Linked DNA regions of Neodiprion lecontei. The protein of the gene in region 1 interacts with the protein of each later gene in a pairwise test. Links are inferred from orthologs where the notes say so. Each region holds a gene or a part of one and is shown on either strand. Other genes may lie near its edges. The genes, in order: ubiquitin conjugation factor E4 B and E3 ubiquitin-protein ligase CHIP.

Region 1 (8,006 bases):
CCGATGGAATGCACCACCTGGTATTTATTTGCACGAATAATGTGACAAAGTTTTTTTTCTATCTTTTCGTTTCTGTCTTTTTTTTCTCTTCAAATTCCTCTTCAAATTCCTCTTCAAATTTTAAATAACTCATCACGTTCTTAGTAGCACTTACATGTTTGCAGACTTTTTCTTCTCCTGTTTCCATGCAGAGATCCTTTCTTTTAAGTCCAGGACTGTGAAAATTACGAGTGAATAATTATTTATTGCCACATTAATTACAAAATATGATAATTAATAAATGTTTGATCATTATTTTTTCAGGACATGACTGATGACGTTTTACTGACCAGGTGTCAGCATGTCTTCACTAAGTGGCTGACGGCTAAATGGATCTGTAGCGCTATTGAGTAGGTGACGAATGATCACTGCTCTGTCCATGACGATACCAGATGGAAGTTTGACAGGCTCTTCCATAAGCGTGTCCATGAGAGGATCACGAAATTCTTCAGGCGCATCCCCATAATCCTCATCACGTGCCTGATTATCCCTTGCAATAGCAGCTGCCCGTTCTGCTAGAGCTCGAAACCGCTCAATTTCAGTCACAGTCTTAATTGCAGTCCTTTCCATTCTACCCGCAGCATCATTAAATAGCTCTTTGCAGAATGAGCGCTGTAATATATTCAACACAAATGGTGAGTGAACTGTCACATTCATTAGATATATCGATTGACTTGCACATATTGTGAATAGCAGAAGTCTGATGTATCGAATATTTTTAAGGTCTCTAATTTATAAGTTTGCTGCATAGCCAAATATATTAATCAACTTCAAATTAAACTTCATATAATACTTTCGAAGAATTAAATATTTTACGATTAATTGTTATTTAACAATTCATTCCTATCTTTGAAATTAGAATATTTAACATTGGTAGTCCTTGCTGTATTACAAATTTTGAAGAGATGTTTCAGGTGACTCACTGTTTTTCTCATTCAATTAAAATGAGAAACAAACAGTTTCTATTGGGTTTTGAATATGTATATGATGAAAGATTTACCAAACAATACAAAAAAGAAGAAAGATAATTGCATTACTTCGCTGTAACTGCTCTTCTGTCAAGTGTATGAATACGACATTCGCTATCCTAGGAGCACGGACATTAAATATATATATCGGTATCGTTTCTGCACTGTTTTGTGTTGTTAGGGTAGTGTTAATGAGTTAATAAATTAATTTTTTCACTTTTTTACTCCAGGTGGTAAATGTTAGTGAGAGAAGGCCAGAGTTACTGAAAGCTAACCATTGTAATAGAAACGTTGAAAAGTTTATTTGCCCAATTCCAAAACAAAGTTGTATATATGTAGTCGTATCTCTTACCTCATCCCCAGCCAGAGCAGCAGCAAAATTATCACAGTCTAGATGCAAGTATATATCGGCTAATTGACTTAACAATGTTCTTGGTTCCCATCCATATTTTTCTGGTTTTTTCACTTTTAGATTTTTACACTTCGGCCCACAAAGCTGTTGCAAATTAAAGTTCAACATGGCACTAAGTCTACCGACCAATTCAGGACGTAAAAATGGTTCTGTGATATCTACAGTCAAGTAATGGAACATGGCAACAGTTTCCTTTGCAAGAGTTAAGTAAGATCTCGCCTGACGTTCGTCGGCCGTTAATTGTCTTGATCTAGATTGTTGCTGATCTTGAGGTAGTGCAGCCCATGCTGCAGTGTTGGACATAAGTTCCTGCACTTCATGAATTCGTTTTAAAGATTCCAAACTTTCGTCCAATAAAAACGTTGTGTCATTCATCAGCATATTTATAAACTTGACAAATTGCTTTCCACTTCTACTTTCGTTGACGATGGAAGCTCTATGAACAGGACTCTCCCACATGGATTTCAATATCAAACTAATATGGTAACGGATCGAAAACTTGTCATAGAATTCCGAGCTGGAACCAGTTGTTTCTACATCTGTATAAAACTTCATAAGGTAAGATGCCAAGAAAGTCTTTGATATCTCGTGTGCCATCACTTGGTCATGTAGAGTTTCTGTTCTCCCCTGTTAAACAATAAAAACTTTTACCGATATTTCATCCTTACCGAGATATGCACTTTTTTGTTCAATAATAAAGTAATAAAGAGGTAGAGCTCTTAGAGCGTACCTGAACACTGGGGTTGATCACAAAGAGTACTTCAATAATTTTAGCAATTAAGTATGGATTGCGAATACAGTGTGGCGTACATATCACAACTAGCAGCCATGTAATCAGCGAATTATCCATATTATTGGCCACTACTGTGGGGCTGAATCTATTGTGAAAAAACAAAAAAAAAAAAACAGTGAATGAAGAAATTTCCCCAAGACAAGACAGGGGTAGATAGACAAAATTGGAAACTTACTGAAGTGCAAAGAGCAAAAATTCTGCAATGTCTTCGACATACCATTCAGGTAAGGCAGTAAATTGAGGTGGAACGTGTTGAGGAAGCGGAAGGGTAGGTAATTCACTACCAGCAGGTCTCTGGGTAAGAAGACCGAGCAGAACGTCGGCAACAGACGTATAAAAGTGAAGAGATCGCCTTAAAAGAACTTGGTCTATCAATCCAGCATCTGCGGAAGATTTTGATCTACCGAGTCGTTTCAACTGTTGTTTCCATCGTTTCATTAACTCCTTGTTGTGCGCTGCAAAAGGAGCATCTTTCCACTGCGGCTCAGTTGCCTGTAGTTCATCCAGCATCTTCTGTAGCTCCCTGAGAGCTCTCAATCTTCTTTGATATTTTTGCAAAGCTGGCAAAAGCGCCAGATGATGACAGTGAAGAGTTAAAAACCAGCATTGAGTTGGAAACTTTGCCTCTGTCCATTTGTGCGTTGACTCCAAGCTCGCAAGCCACTCTGTCACTTCCTGTGAGTTGAGCTTTAATCTGGTATCATTTTTTATTTCAACATAACTAGAAGGATGAAACGGATACAGCGTATCTATCGTGTTGAGCTTAATCTTGACAGCAAGCATCTGGAGAACTGACAACAAATTGAGCATAAAACCATCTCCTGCAAGGGCAAATTCTTCTGTTTGAATTTGAGCCCGTTTTTCATTGTGTCGAAGAAGAGCTGCCAGATACGCCAGTGTAGCTTCTCGGCAGCTACTACTATTTGCAAGAATTGCATGGAACATTTTGTGAAGCGACGATCTAGTGCTTTCAAGCTCCTGCTGTAGAGTTAAATTTATTGACTTATCTGTTGCAGGATTTCCGCTGAAAAATTTTTCCGCAACCTTGGGCTGATCCTCCGCGAATACGGAGACGGAAAGGAAAGGCCCTAAGAATGATGTTCTGGCAAGCTCTCTTCCAACTGCAGTCGTCAAAACGTCAGGTAAAAACTGGGTTTGGTGCGTTATCAACTGACAAATTGGACGAATATTGCCAGTGGATCCACAGCGTATCTCAATTAGTTCTTCCAAGGCTTCGATTGGCCGGCGGTGAGTGTTACCAATCAGGCTTGCTTGCTGCATAGAGAGAAAGAAGCCTTGGAGTAACGGGGTGAAAATCTTGGTGAACACGTGAGGATTAGAGTGAGTTCTAGCCACAAGTTCATGCAGGAAACCTCTAGGTAGGTTTTGCGATAGCACTGGATAGAGAAGTGACGGAGATGGCGTTGACGGTATTACACTTTGGCAGATGCCAACCAATCCTTGTAGAACTAAACTTGCATGTTGCACACACTGAGCCCGCAGTGTGGCCAAAACTTCAGAAAGCGGAGGTGTGCTACATCTCTGCAATTTAGAAACACAAATAGATTGAAAGTGTAAGGCAGATTCATTGCTTAGCGAATTTATTTCAGAGTTGTAAATAGGATTTTACCTTAGGATGATTCCGTTCTTCTACAGCAACTCTGGAGTAGCATTCAAATAAATAAATAAGACTTTTTGGCTGCTGAGACTTGCCAGCAGTGGGCAGAGGTAGTGTGGGTACAGGACAGGAAGGTAGAGTAACAACAGGGCTCAGCAAAGGGCTTGCTTGGCTGCTGGGACTGCCTTCTCGATCGGAAGAAGCATCCGATGTTATTTCTTTCAGTGGATCTTCGCCTCGAGAGAACATGCAGAGCACTTCCATCAGGGCCTGATTAGCAATATCAGTAACATCTGAGAGTTCGTGCTCCAAGGCATTAGCTGCTGTTTGAGGAAGAAATATTGCACCTTCCGTAGATTCTTTCCATGAAACACAGAGGACGCGTGAGACCACTGTGTGAATTTGGTCAACTGTTACCTCTGTACTGGAACTCGTTGTCTGTTAAGGTAAAAATGATTCATATGATTGATGTCGCACATTTGTTTCCAATTTTCCAACGCAACAATATTGTACTGTTCTTCTCAAATCCCAAGGTTGCATTTCTTAACTAGGTTTCTAAGAACTGAAAAGAATACTGATTTTCTACTCACTGAGCCGAATAGTTTACTTTTTGTGTAATGTTATAGTCACTTAGTAAACAAAGAAAGGAAAAAAATGGAACTACACTAAACAAATATTAGTCTGTTAAGTGAATTACGTCCATTTTCTTCAGAGCATCCTAATACACACCCTGGAGCGTGGTGCCAATTCTCTGCGATCAGATTCTTCTACTTCCATATTTTCAATTCCAGAATCTACATCGACGCCAGAAGTGTTGCACTGCTTTTCACTGCTGTCTTCAACTTCCATAGGATGTTCTGGATGCTGTAACTGCTGTGTTGGAGGTGACATTATTGGACCAGAAGACGATCTTGAGGGACCCGGAGTGCCAGGAGAAATGGATCCAGTTCCACTATTTGAACTATTAGTGGAAATACTGGTTTCCAGGCCTGCAAGGCGGGCTAACCGCCTTTTCCTCATCTAAGAAAGAATTATCACATATACCTGATAGAACTTTGGTCAAAAAAAAAAAAAAAAATAAATGACAGATCAGTCATTGCAATAAATCGAAACAAAACACAAAAGCTAACGTTACAGTCAAACAAAGTTTAGTTTATAGAATCGAATTGCAAAAAAAAGCAATGAACACTGATTGCTGTAAAAATCAGTATCATTATACTTGGCATTACTTTACAAAAAAAGCTATGCAGTGTCTTTCAAGTTATAATTAAATGTAAATCACAAAGTATGGCAAACATGTAGTATTGTACATACAGGTCAGTCATCCTTTGTTCGTGACAAAGGAGAGGAAATAATATTGCGCAGATTTTTTTTTTTGGGAGCCAAGTAAACAAGAGTTGCTTTGCCAGATCTATATTTAGCTTCTGTTGTTTAGTTATTCCAACCAAGAAAGCAAAGTTATTACACAGTAATCAAATGTTTTACGATTGATTTTTGTATGTTTGAAAAGCATGTGATTAACATAACTGAATTACACACTTTAATTCTAGACTCTAAATCTGGTCGAAGTACTCTTGTAGCTAGACAAAAAAAAGCATGAAAAACTGACAACAAACAAGCATGTCTTCGAATGACTCTCATTTTTGTGACAATTATAGGATCCTGCATACTTGATGAGTGTTAAGAAACAAGATCAATCGTGGTATCACTTGATACCGTTATTTTTTAACAGAAAATCATGATTAGCTATTCAGCAGTAAAACTAATGGGAATCGAAATGGTTGTATTGTTATTATTTATTATTATATTCATTTTAAGGTCGACAAAATCTGTGGCGGAGACATCGGTTGGTTCTACTGTCCCCTCCTAACCCTTTGGATTGCTTACTTTCCAGTGAACTCACGAGATCATCGTTGATAAATTAACTAGCGTAATATCGGACTCACCTCTTCTTGACTTAATTCGCTCATGGCGATATCTCTTCTATTCCCGGTGAAACGCGCTCTACACCTCGTAGGCCGTAATCTAATTACTACTTATATAAATGTACAAAATCTCTGCTTCGCAAAATCCGTATCCGTAGCTGTTGAGATGTGTCAGAAATTCGGACAGTCACTCCACATCTGTTTGCGTTTAGACGGTAGATTAGCGATTCTTTACAGTTCACGGACACAACGTCAATTGTTCGAAACAGCTGAGCTATCCCCTTAGAGCATGTACCACTGGAAGTAGCCGCGCGTGTACAAAAAGCATAATCGGACGGGGCGGGGGGGGGGGGGGATAGAGCAGTAGACAGAGCACGTAAGCCATGTACAACCTGTCTCTCTCGCTCTACAAAATGGTTGGCCGATACGTTTTCTTTTACCCAATAACATCCAGAGTGAGAGAGACGAAGTATCCAGGGTAAGCCGAGGATACATAATCTTGCCTTCTCGTCACCACGGTCACAGTTTTCGCGCGGTTGACGTCATGAGCAGCTACCCCCAGTAGTATATGATCTAAGGTTATCCCTGGTCCAGAATCAGTCAACGTGCGCCATCTCGAGAATTTAATTGAAAACACCTTATTCACCAATCCAAAAACGTAGACAAAAACAGATAAAACGATTTTAGATATTAGAAATTTGCAAATGTATTTGATATAGCAGCTGTAAGCATTCTCGGGATCTCTCTAAGATCAGTATAGTGCTTATTTGTCATTATTCGTAGTTCGAGAAGGTCCATTTGTGAAAATTGGGGCGTCGATAAATCAGAATCCGTAGTTTGAAAGGCGCGCGGAAATTCTGAAGTACATGCAAGAAGCGCCAGCAAGCGATGTACTGTTGACCTACTATCGTTTTTTAATAGTCAGTTAAACATGGCTGGCGAAAAGTTTGCTTCCAGTTCTCGGCACGTCAAAAATTGTGATAGAACGAGTGACAGCAGTGATTCAGCGCTGAATACCGACCTGGAGGATGATTATCTCGACGCTATCGAAAATATACCATACCCGGAGTTTCAGTTTGCCGTAAGTTCGGTTCAATAATTTTTTCCATTGTCAAATGCTCGTCAGGCGTCCTACATTGGATTCTGGTGGGCATTCTCTAATATTTTTCCTTTTTATCTCGCAGACAACAACTTGTTACATTTGCAACGGGTATTACGGACCTTGTTTCGAAGAGCCTGTTTGTGCGACCTGCCACGCGTTTTTATTCCCAGATGATATCGGGCTACTTCAAGTGCCGATATTTAGCGAGGTCAGTATTACTATGACAACTATTTCTTTACTTTTATGTGACGTGAGGTGGGAAATGGCGAAATATTATCATTGAATCATTTTGACGTCACCCTTATTGTTAACAGAAAACTGACGACGAAGACTCTGGCAATGACGAGCCTACAGATCTTTATTACAACCCTGAGCGACGCACGAGTCAGCAACAACACAATTCTCCACAGAATTCAAATCCAGTAGCTGCAAATTATCAGAATGCCCCAATATCAGCATTGAATTTGAATCAATCACCATATTCACCCTTTCAAAATGTTCCTGCTTTGAGATGTAATCATCCCAATGCACTCGGATGTAGCACAGGCATCAATCTTGGTGTACATATGAAAAATCTGGTGCCTCAAAGCAGTTCAAGTTCAAATCCGCAAATGAATCGGCCATTTGTGCAAAATAACATAAGCAATGACCAAGCTCAATGTCAGTTCCCGGTTAACGTTAACCCACCAAACCCACCAAATAATCTTAGAAATACACCACCGCCAATTCCAAACATTCAAATCCCAAACAACCGGGCAGACGATCCTGCCGAAGATGATTTTCCCAGCCCAGAAGACCTGGTTCCACTTGGAGAAGGTGAGAACTTTGGAAATGATGTTCAGAATAGACAGTACAGATGGAATTTTCAAATACATGGTGATATTGGGGAGCCTTCACGCCCCCCCAGCTTATCCGAGAGACTGGATTTGCTCTCCAATCACAAACATCTGGAACATGAGCGAATAAATGAACCTGGCCTGGTGGACAGGCTGCCGCCAGAAGTTCTCTTCGCAGTATTTTCTCATCTTGATGACATGAGCTTATGGTCGGCTGGCAAAGTGTGTAGAAGATGGTGTGGCCTGCTCTCGACACATGTAACGCCTCAGCAGTGGCAACAGTACGTCAAACTACGCTGGCCTTTGTACAGGC
Region 2 (4,925 bases), on another chromosome or scaffold:
ATGTGAGCATGTTCCATGCCTTGCACTGTAACCTGTATGCATGCTACCTAGGGTGTAGCCTATTTTCGGGCATCATCAAAATGCTGACTGAATAGGTCGGGTCCCGGAATTAGAGTGACTAACAAGTGGATGTGTATCCCTAATGCTTCAATACACCAGTATACAAATTTTCAGCTTTTCCTAAGATTTTGCACGCTACTCATCATTTTTACATATTCAGTAGGTGTCCCAGAACATCGCTGACTGACCGAGGATTCTTTAAACTACATGAATTTATTCAGATTTTCTCAATTTTTTGTAGCCTTGAGCCACCAGCTAGCAGACATATAAATCTGCAAAAACAGCGAGATCTGGGAAGGAAGGAAGATTACTGAAACATGGTGCTTGAGCATGGATACACATCAGCGGTTATTACACCAATACACGAGACTGAAACAAGCAGTACATGTATAGATCACATATACAGGGTGAGTCAGTTAAAACGGCCAGAATGGGAGGAGCTCAGTTGACGGATCAGGCCGTACCTCTTAGCCAATTTGGAGCGAATCAATTGAAACACCGAGAATGGGAGGAGCTTTGTTGACGGATTAGGCCGTAGCCCGCGTGTTGATATCAAAGTAAAGTTTGCAGTCTGCGTACAGATATTCAGTGGTAATACGAAATAAAGTAACGATATGACAACAAGTGACGGATCATAATAAGAGTTTATTCCCTCACTTGGTGTCATATCGTGACTTTATTTCGTATTACCACTGAATACCTGTACGCAGACTGCAAACTTTACTTTGATATCAACACGCGGGCTATGGCCTAATCCGTCAACAAAGCTCCTCCCATTCTCGGTATTTCAATTGACTCGCTCCAGATTCGCTAAGGGGTATGGCCTGATCCGTCAACTGAGCTCCTCCCATTCTGGCCGTTTTAACTGACTCACCCTGTATGTTAAAAGAGACAATACCAAAGAAATAACAGCAGCAGTATTACCAACGAAGATTGAGTCCCATAGAAGCGTACGGCCTGCAGGCTATTTGAAGCAAGAAAAGTTGGGGTGCTCGGACGAGCTATCCCCCCAACAGCTAGGTGTCGCTAGTGGCGCCTTTGCTTGTGTGGCTCACGTACAGCGCTCTATACTAATGCGAACAGTGTCGGTGTGTTGGCTCCGACTGGCGAGTTGGGGTGATCGTGCTAACTCTCTACTGTCGACCGACGGTAGAGCCATCTTACGGATTTACGAGTCGTGGAAAGTTTTGCTTCAAGCGGCCCATAAGCCGTACGCTTCTATGTGACTCGATCTTCGTTGGTATTGCAGACGATGACCACGGATCACTACACGACCATAATCAAGATTGCAAATGATATGATGAAGTAACTTTATTATGGACTCATACAACCTATGATATAATATCGAACAACAGTCTGGGAAATTGTGTAAAAAATAAGCCATTGACCATCTGTAAGTGGTCCAAGATCTACAGAAAATAGCAAACATCCCAAACATCAGGTAGACATATCTAGCAAACATAATGATAAGGCTCAAAAAAAATCGACTGAAAACTGAGGAAAGAAAAGTACAGTAGGAATATATAACTCGGGCTAGCGTACAAGGAAATCTTGTACATCAAAGGGTTGACACAACCAGAACACATTGCCGTAAAAAAAGGATTGCAGTAATTTTTTTTTTCAGTTTTTATAAGGAGGATGAAGGTACTGAACGGAATATTTATTATGAGATTAAGTTTTTTAAAATAGTTTCAGTAAACAGGCTTCCGAATAGCTAATTGACTCTGCAAGTTAATTTACTGTGCAAGATTCGGGATGTACAATTACCTACATGTATAATAGGTCGATTTCTGTGTAACAGTCATGAATCTTTAGAGATAAAAATTACGCATGGCTCAAGAGTTCATTTACACGCTAGTCAATTGTGCTTAGTCTTCAATTCAACAATCATAATTTAAATATTCTTAGGGTACATAATTTTGAAAACGAATATGAGCTGTTACCTCTCTGAAGATGCTTGACAGCTTCGTCAAATAGTTCCAGTTCAAGAAGTGCTTGGCCTAGGAAAAAATGACCCTTGACTAGACAGGGATCTATATCAAGAGCTCTTCGACAGTCTTGACAGGACGAGTCCCATCGTTTGAGTTTGAGGTGGCACAAGGCACGATTTGTGAAATATGTAGCTTGAGTTGGATTTTTGATCTATAACAAAATATAGTGAATAATTGTCTTTGAGCACTGATGTGAACCTTCATTCAGGTGGAGACTCCAGTCGAAAACTGAACCAATGGTCACGATAAAATGTTAGCATTTGTGGTGACTATTGTACACCTCTATGTTTTGGAAGAATCCTCTGCACATCACGCAGCACAAAGCGCACAATTAACTGTGGCATAAGAACTTCGTCATCCACTTGATCCTAAATCAGGTTATTCCACTAATACAAAACTGCACATGTATTCAAAAGTCACAAGGTTCAAGTTTGCAACATTAAAATAAAACCCTGAACAAAAAATCACTCTTATGATCAGAATGATTTTATGGTAGCTAAATTTGCAAAATATGAACACGTTCCGCTTCATTATGATATATCTAATGTTAGACAATTCTAGAGCAACGGAATAATAATTTTTTCTCCAATTGTATTATTATATCAATGCTATGAACACCAGTTCATCAAAAGTTAGTCATATATAGTTATCATCAGCTGGTGTGTGTGGGATCCTTCTAAATATGAAGGCGTACGAAAATACGTACACGTGATATAATAATCCAATATCTCTTGCTTTTAGTCATCGAACAATACCTACGATTGCTTTTGTATAACAACTGGCTGCATCCTCATATTTGTGCAAATTGAACAAGCGGTTCCCCTGTTCTTTCAACTCCTTATCAGAAAGGTTAGTTGTTGAATACATCTTACTCATGTCGCTCGATATGTCAGAAATAGGGCAGATGCTCAATTTTTAATACACTATAGTGCTATGCGCGGTTCTTTTAAGGGAAATAAAACTGGATTTGAATTAAATCTGTCATTGTTGTATAACCTCAAGTACGTTCGCTTCCATTTTGGTTATCCATACAAACCACGGTAACAAACCATAAGTCACGGCCATCAGCATTATCAGCTCCACCCAGCCGCCGTTGCTTAAGGGTGCTATTTCATGAGCAGTAAAAAGCAGCAGTGGTTTAGTAACTTACAAGTTTTCACTAGCATCAGTCTGGTAAGTTTACGCAGCAGCAGCGCTGCTCATGAAGTAGATCGTGGCTTCTTGTGATCTTATGGTGCCGCTGACCTGGATCTGAAAGTTGTAATCGAACGAAGCGCCCTCTGCGTAAGTTTCCTCGGTTCCAAACCATTCGAAGGTGGTACTCTCCACCGGGGAGTAGCGCAACACAATATTAGACAAAACACGGTCGGTAAGAGGCCTGAATCTGAGTCGGTAACCATACCAACAGGATTGACCCGAATTTTGCATGCAAATGATGACGTCATGTGTGTAGCGATTGCATCACGACCGAACTGATTATTTTGATAGTTTTACGCTGAATATAGCAAATTCAATTTATTGTTCCGTGAAACACCCTTGAATATGGGACATTCTTTGACGAATCGGAGAGATTTAGATAAAAATCGACCGACACAATTTTGATGTAGCTTAAAATTTTTTCACGGGTTCTATATCGAAAAAATAGGGATACGTATTCGAGGATTTTTTTATTTTACATATTTCGTAACATAGAGGGGATCGAAAATTTGATAATTTGGTGTTTTTTGGCTTGGAAGACTCACTTTCAAAAATTCATAACGCCGGTTCAGTTTGAGCTGAAAAGTTCGTTTTTTGAACCCAAAGCTTATAAAATGAATTTTAATGCAACAATTGTTTCATTTACGATTATTCCGAAATTTATATTGTTATAAATAATTAATATGTTTAAATCGATTTTTAGCAATTGCCTTCACCTCGTAGCGAGTTCTCAGCACGACCATCGTATTCTCCATCAATTCAAAATACGTTATGGATAAAAAATTTGACGTAGAATACGATGGTTGTGCTAAGAACTCGCTACGAGGTTGAGCCAATTTTTAAAAATCGATCGGAACATATTAATTGTTTATAACAGTATAAACATCGGAATAATCGTTAATGAAAGAATTGTTGTAATAAAATTCATTTAATTAGCTTTGAGATGAAAAAAACGAACTTTCCAGCTCAAATAGAACCGGCGTTATGAATTTTTGAAAGTGAGTCTTCCAAGCCAAAAAACACCAAATTATCAAATTTTCGATCCCCTCTATTTTACGAAATATGTGAAATAAAAAATCCTCGAATACGTATCCCTATTTTTTCGGTATAGAACTCGTCAAAAAAAATTTCAGCTGAATCAAAAATGTGTCGGTCACAAAGGTGTTTGGTTGTAAAAGAATGTCCCATATACATTAAAACATATCGCGCAATATTAATTTTACACAGCACGAAGTATTTTCAAAATGATTTCATAAATATCACCATTCACCATTTGTAAATATTTGGAAATATGTTCGAAAAATACGATTGAAACAAAACGGGTACGAATCGTTGTGGTCTCGTTTTATGAAGTTACGCCATCGGTCGCCCCCCCCCCCCCCCCCCCCCCGCCCAACTCCGCTTCTCCTTGTCGCAAACTTGAATGGTCATGTTTATTTTCCGTCAGTGCATTACATTGTATTCGATTATTCGCTCAGTCTACGGATAGTGACTGTGCGCGAGAAAAAAAAATCTTTGTGTCGGCAGACGACTGTGCTCGAACATTTTGCATTTCCAAAATAAAGAGTATTTTTCATTCTTCTTCAGAGGTTTTCTATGAGGTATATACATGATTATCTCTGGTGAGTATTTATACATATATATATATATATATATATATGTACATTATACAGTTGT

The links.
Region 2: the proteins of ubiquitin conjugation factor E4 B (region 1) and E3 ubiquitin-protein ligase CHIP interact in a two-hybrid assay, tested with the Caenorhabditis elegans proteins (2 studies listed by BioGRID). The link is inferred for Neodiprion lecontei from reciprocal best matches to the Caenorhabditis elegans genes ufd-2 and chn-1.

What each region holds. Positions count from the first base shown.
Region 1 is NC_060260.1:35,856,216-35,864,221, forward strand, and holds ubiquitin conjugation factor E4 B, read right to left. Parts: upstream 6,050-8,006; 5' UTR 5,801-6,049; coding exon 5,777-5,800; intron 4,851-5,776; coding exon 4,560-4,850; intron 4,269-4,559; coding exon 3,843-4,268; intron 3,755-3,842; coding exon 2,388-3,754; intron 2,298-2,387; coding exon 2,150-2,297; intron 2,047-2,149; coding exon 1,360-2,046; intron 652-1,359; coding exon 330-651; intron 216-329; coding exon 151-215; 3' UTR 111-150; downstream 1-110. Other genes in the region: uncharacterized protein LOC107220803, read left to right, coding at 6,687-6,836, 6,940-7,065, 7,172-8,006. UniProt on the Caenorhabditis elegans protein: Acts as an E4 ubiquitin ligase mediating the assembly of polyubiquitin chains on substrates ubiquitinated by another E3 ubiquitin ligase. The elongation of preexisting ubiquitin chains preferentially targets ubiquitin 'Lys-29' and 'Lys-48' residues.
Region 2 is NC_060262.1:16,939,407-16,944,331, forward strand, and holds the start of E3 ubiquitin-protein ligase CHIP, read right to left. Parts: upstream 3,082-4,925; 5' UTR 3,069-3,081; coding exon of another isoform or gene 3,048-3,068; 5' UTR 2,928-3,047; coding exon 2,811-2,927; exon of another isoform or gene 2,797-2,810; coding exon of another isoform or gene 2,758-2,796; intron 2,203-2,757; coding exon 2,004-2,202; intron 1-2,003.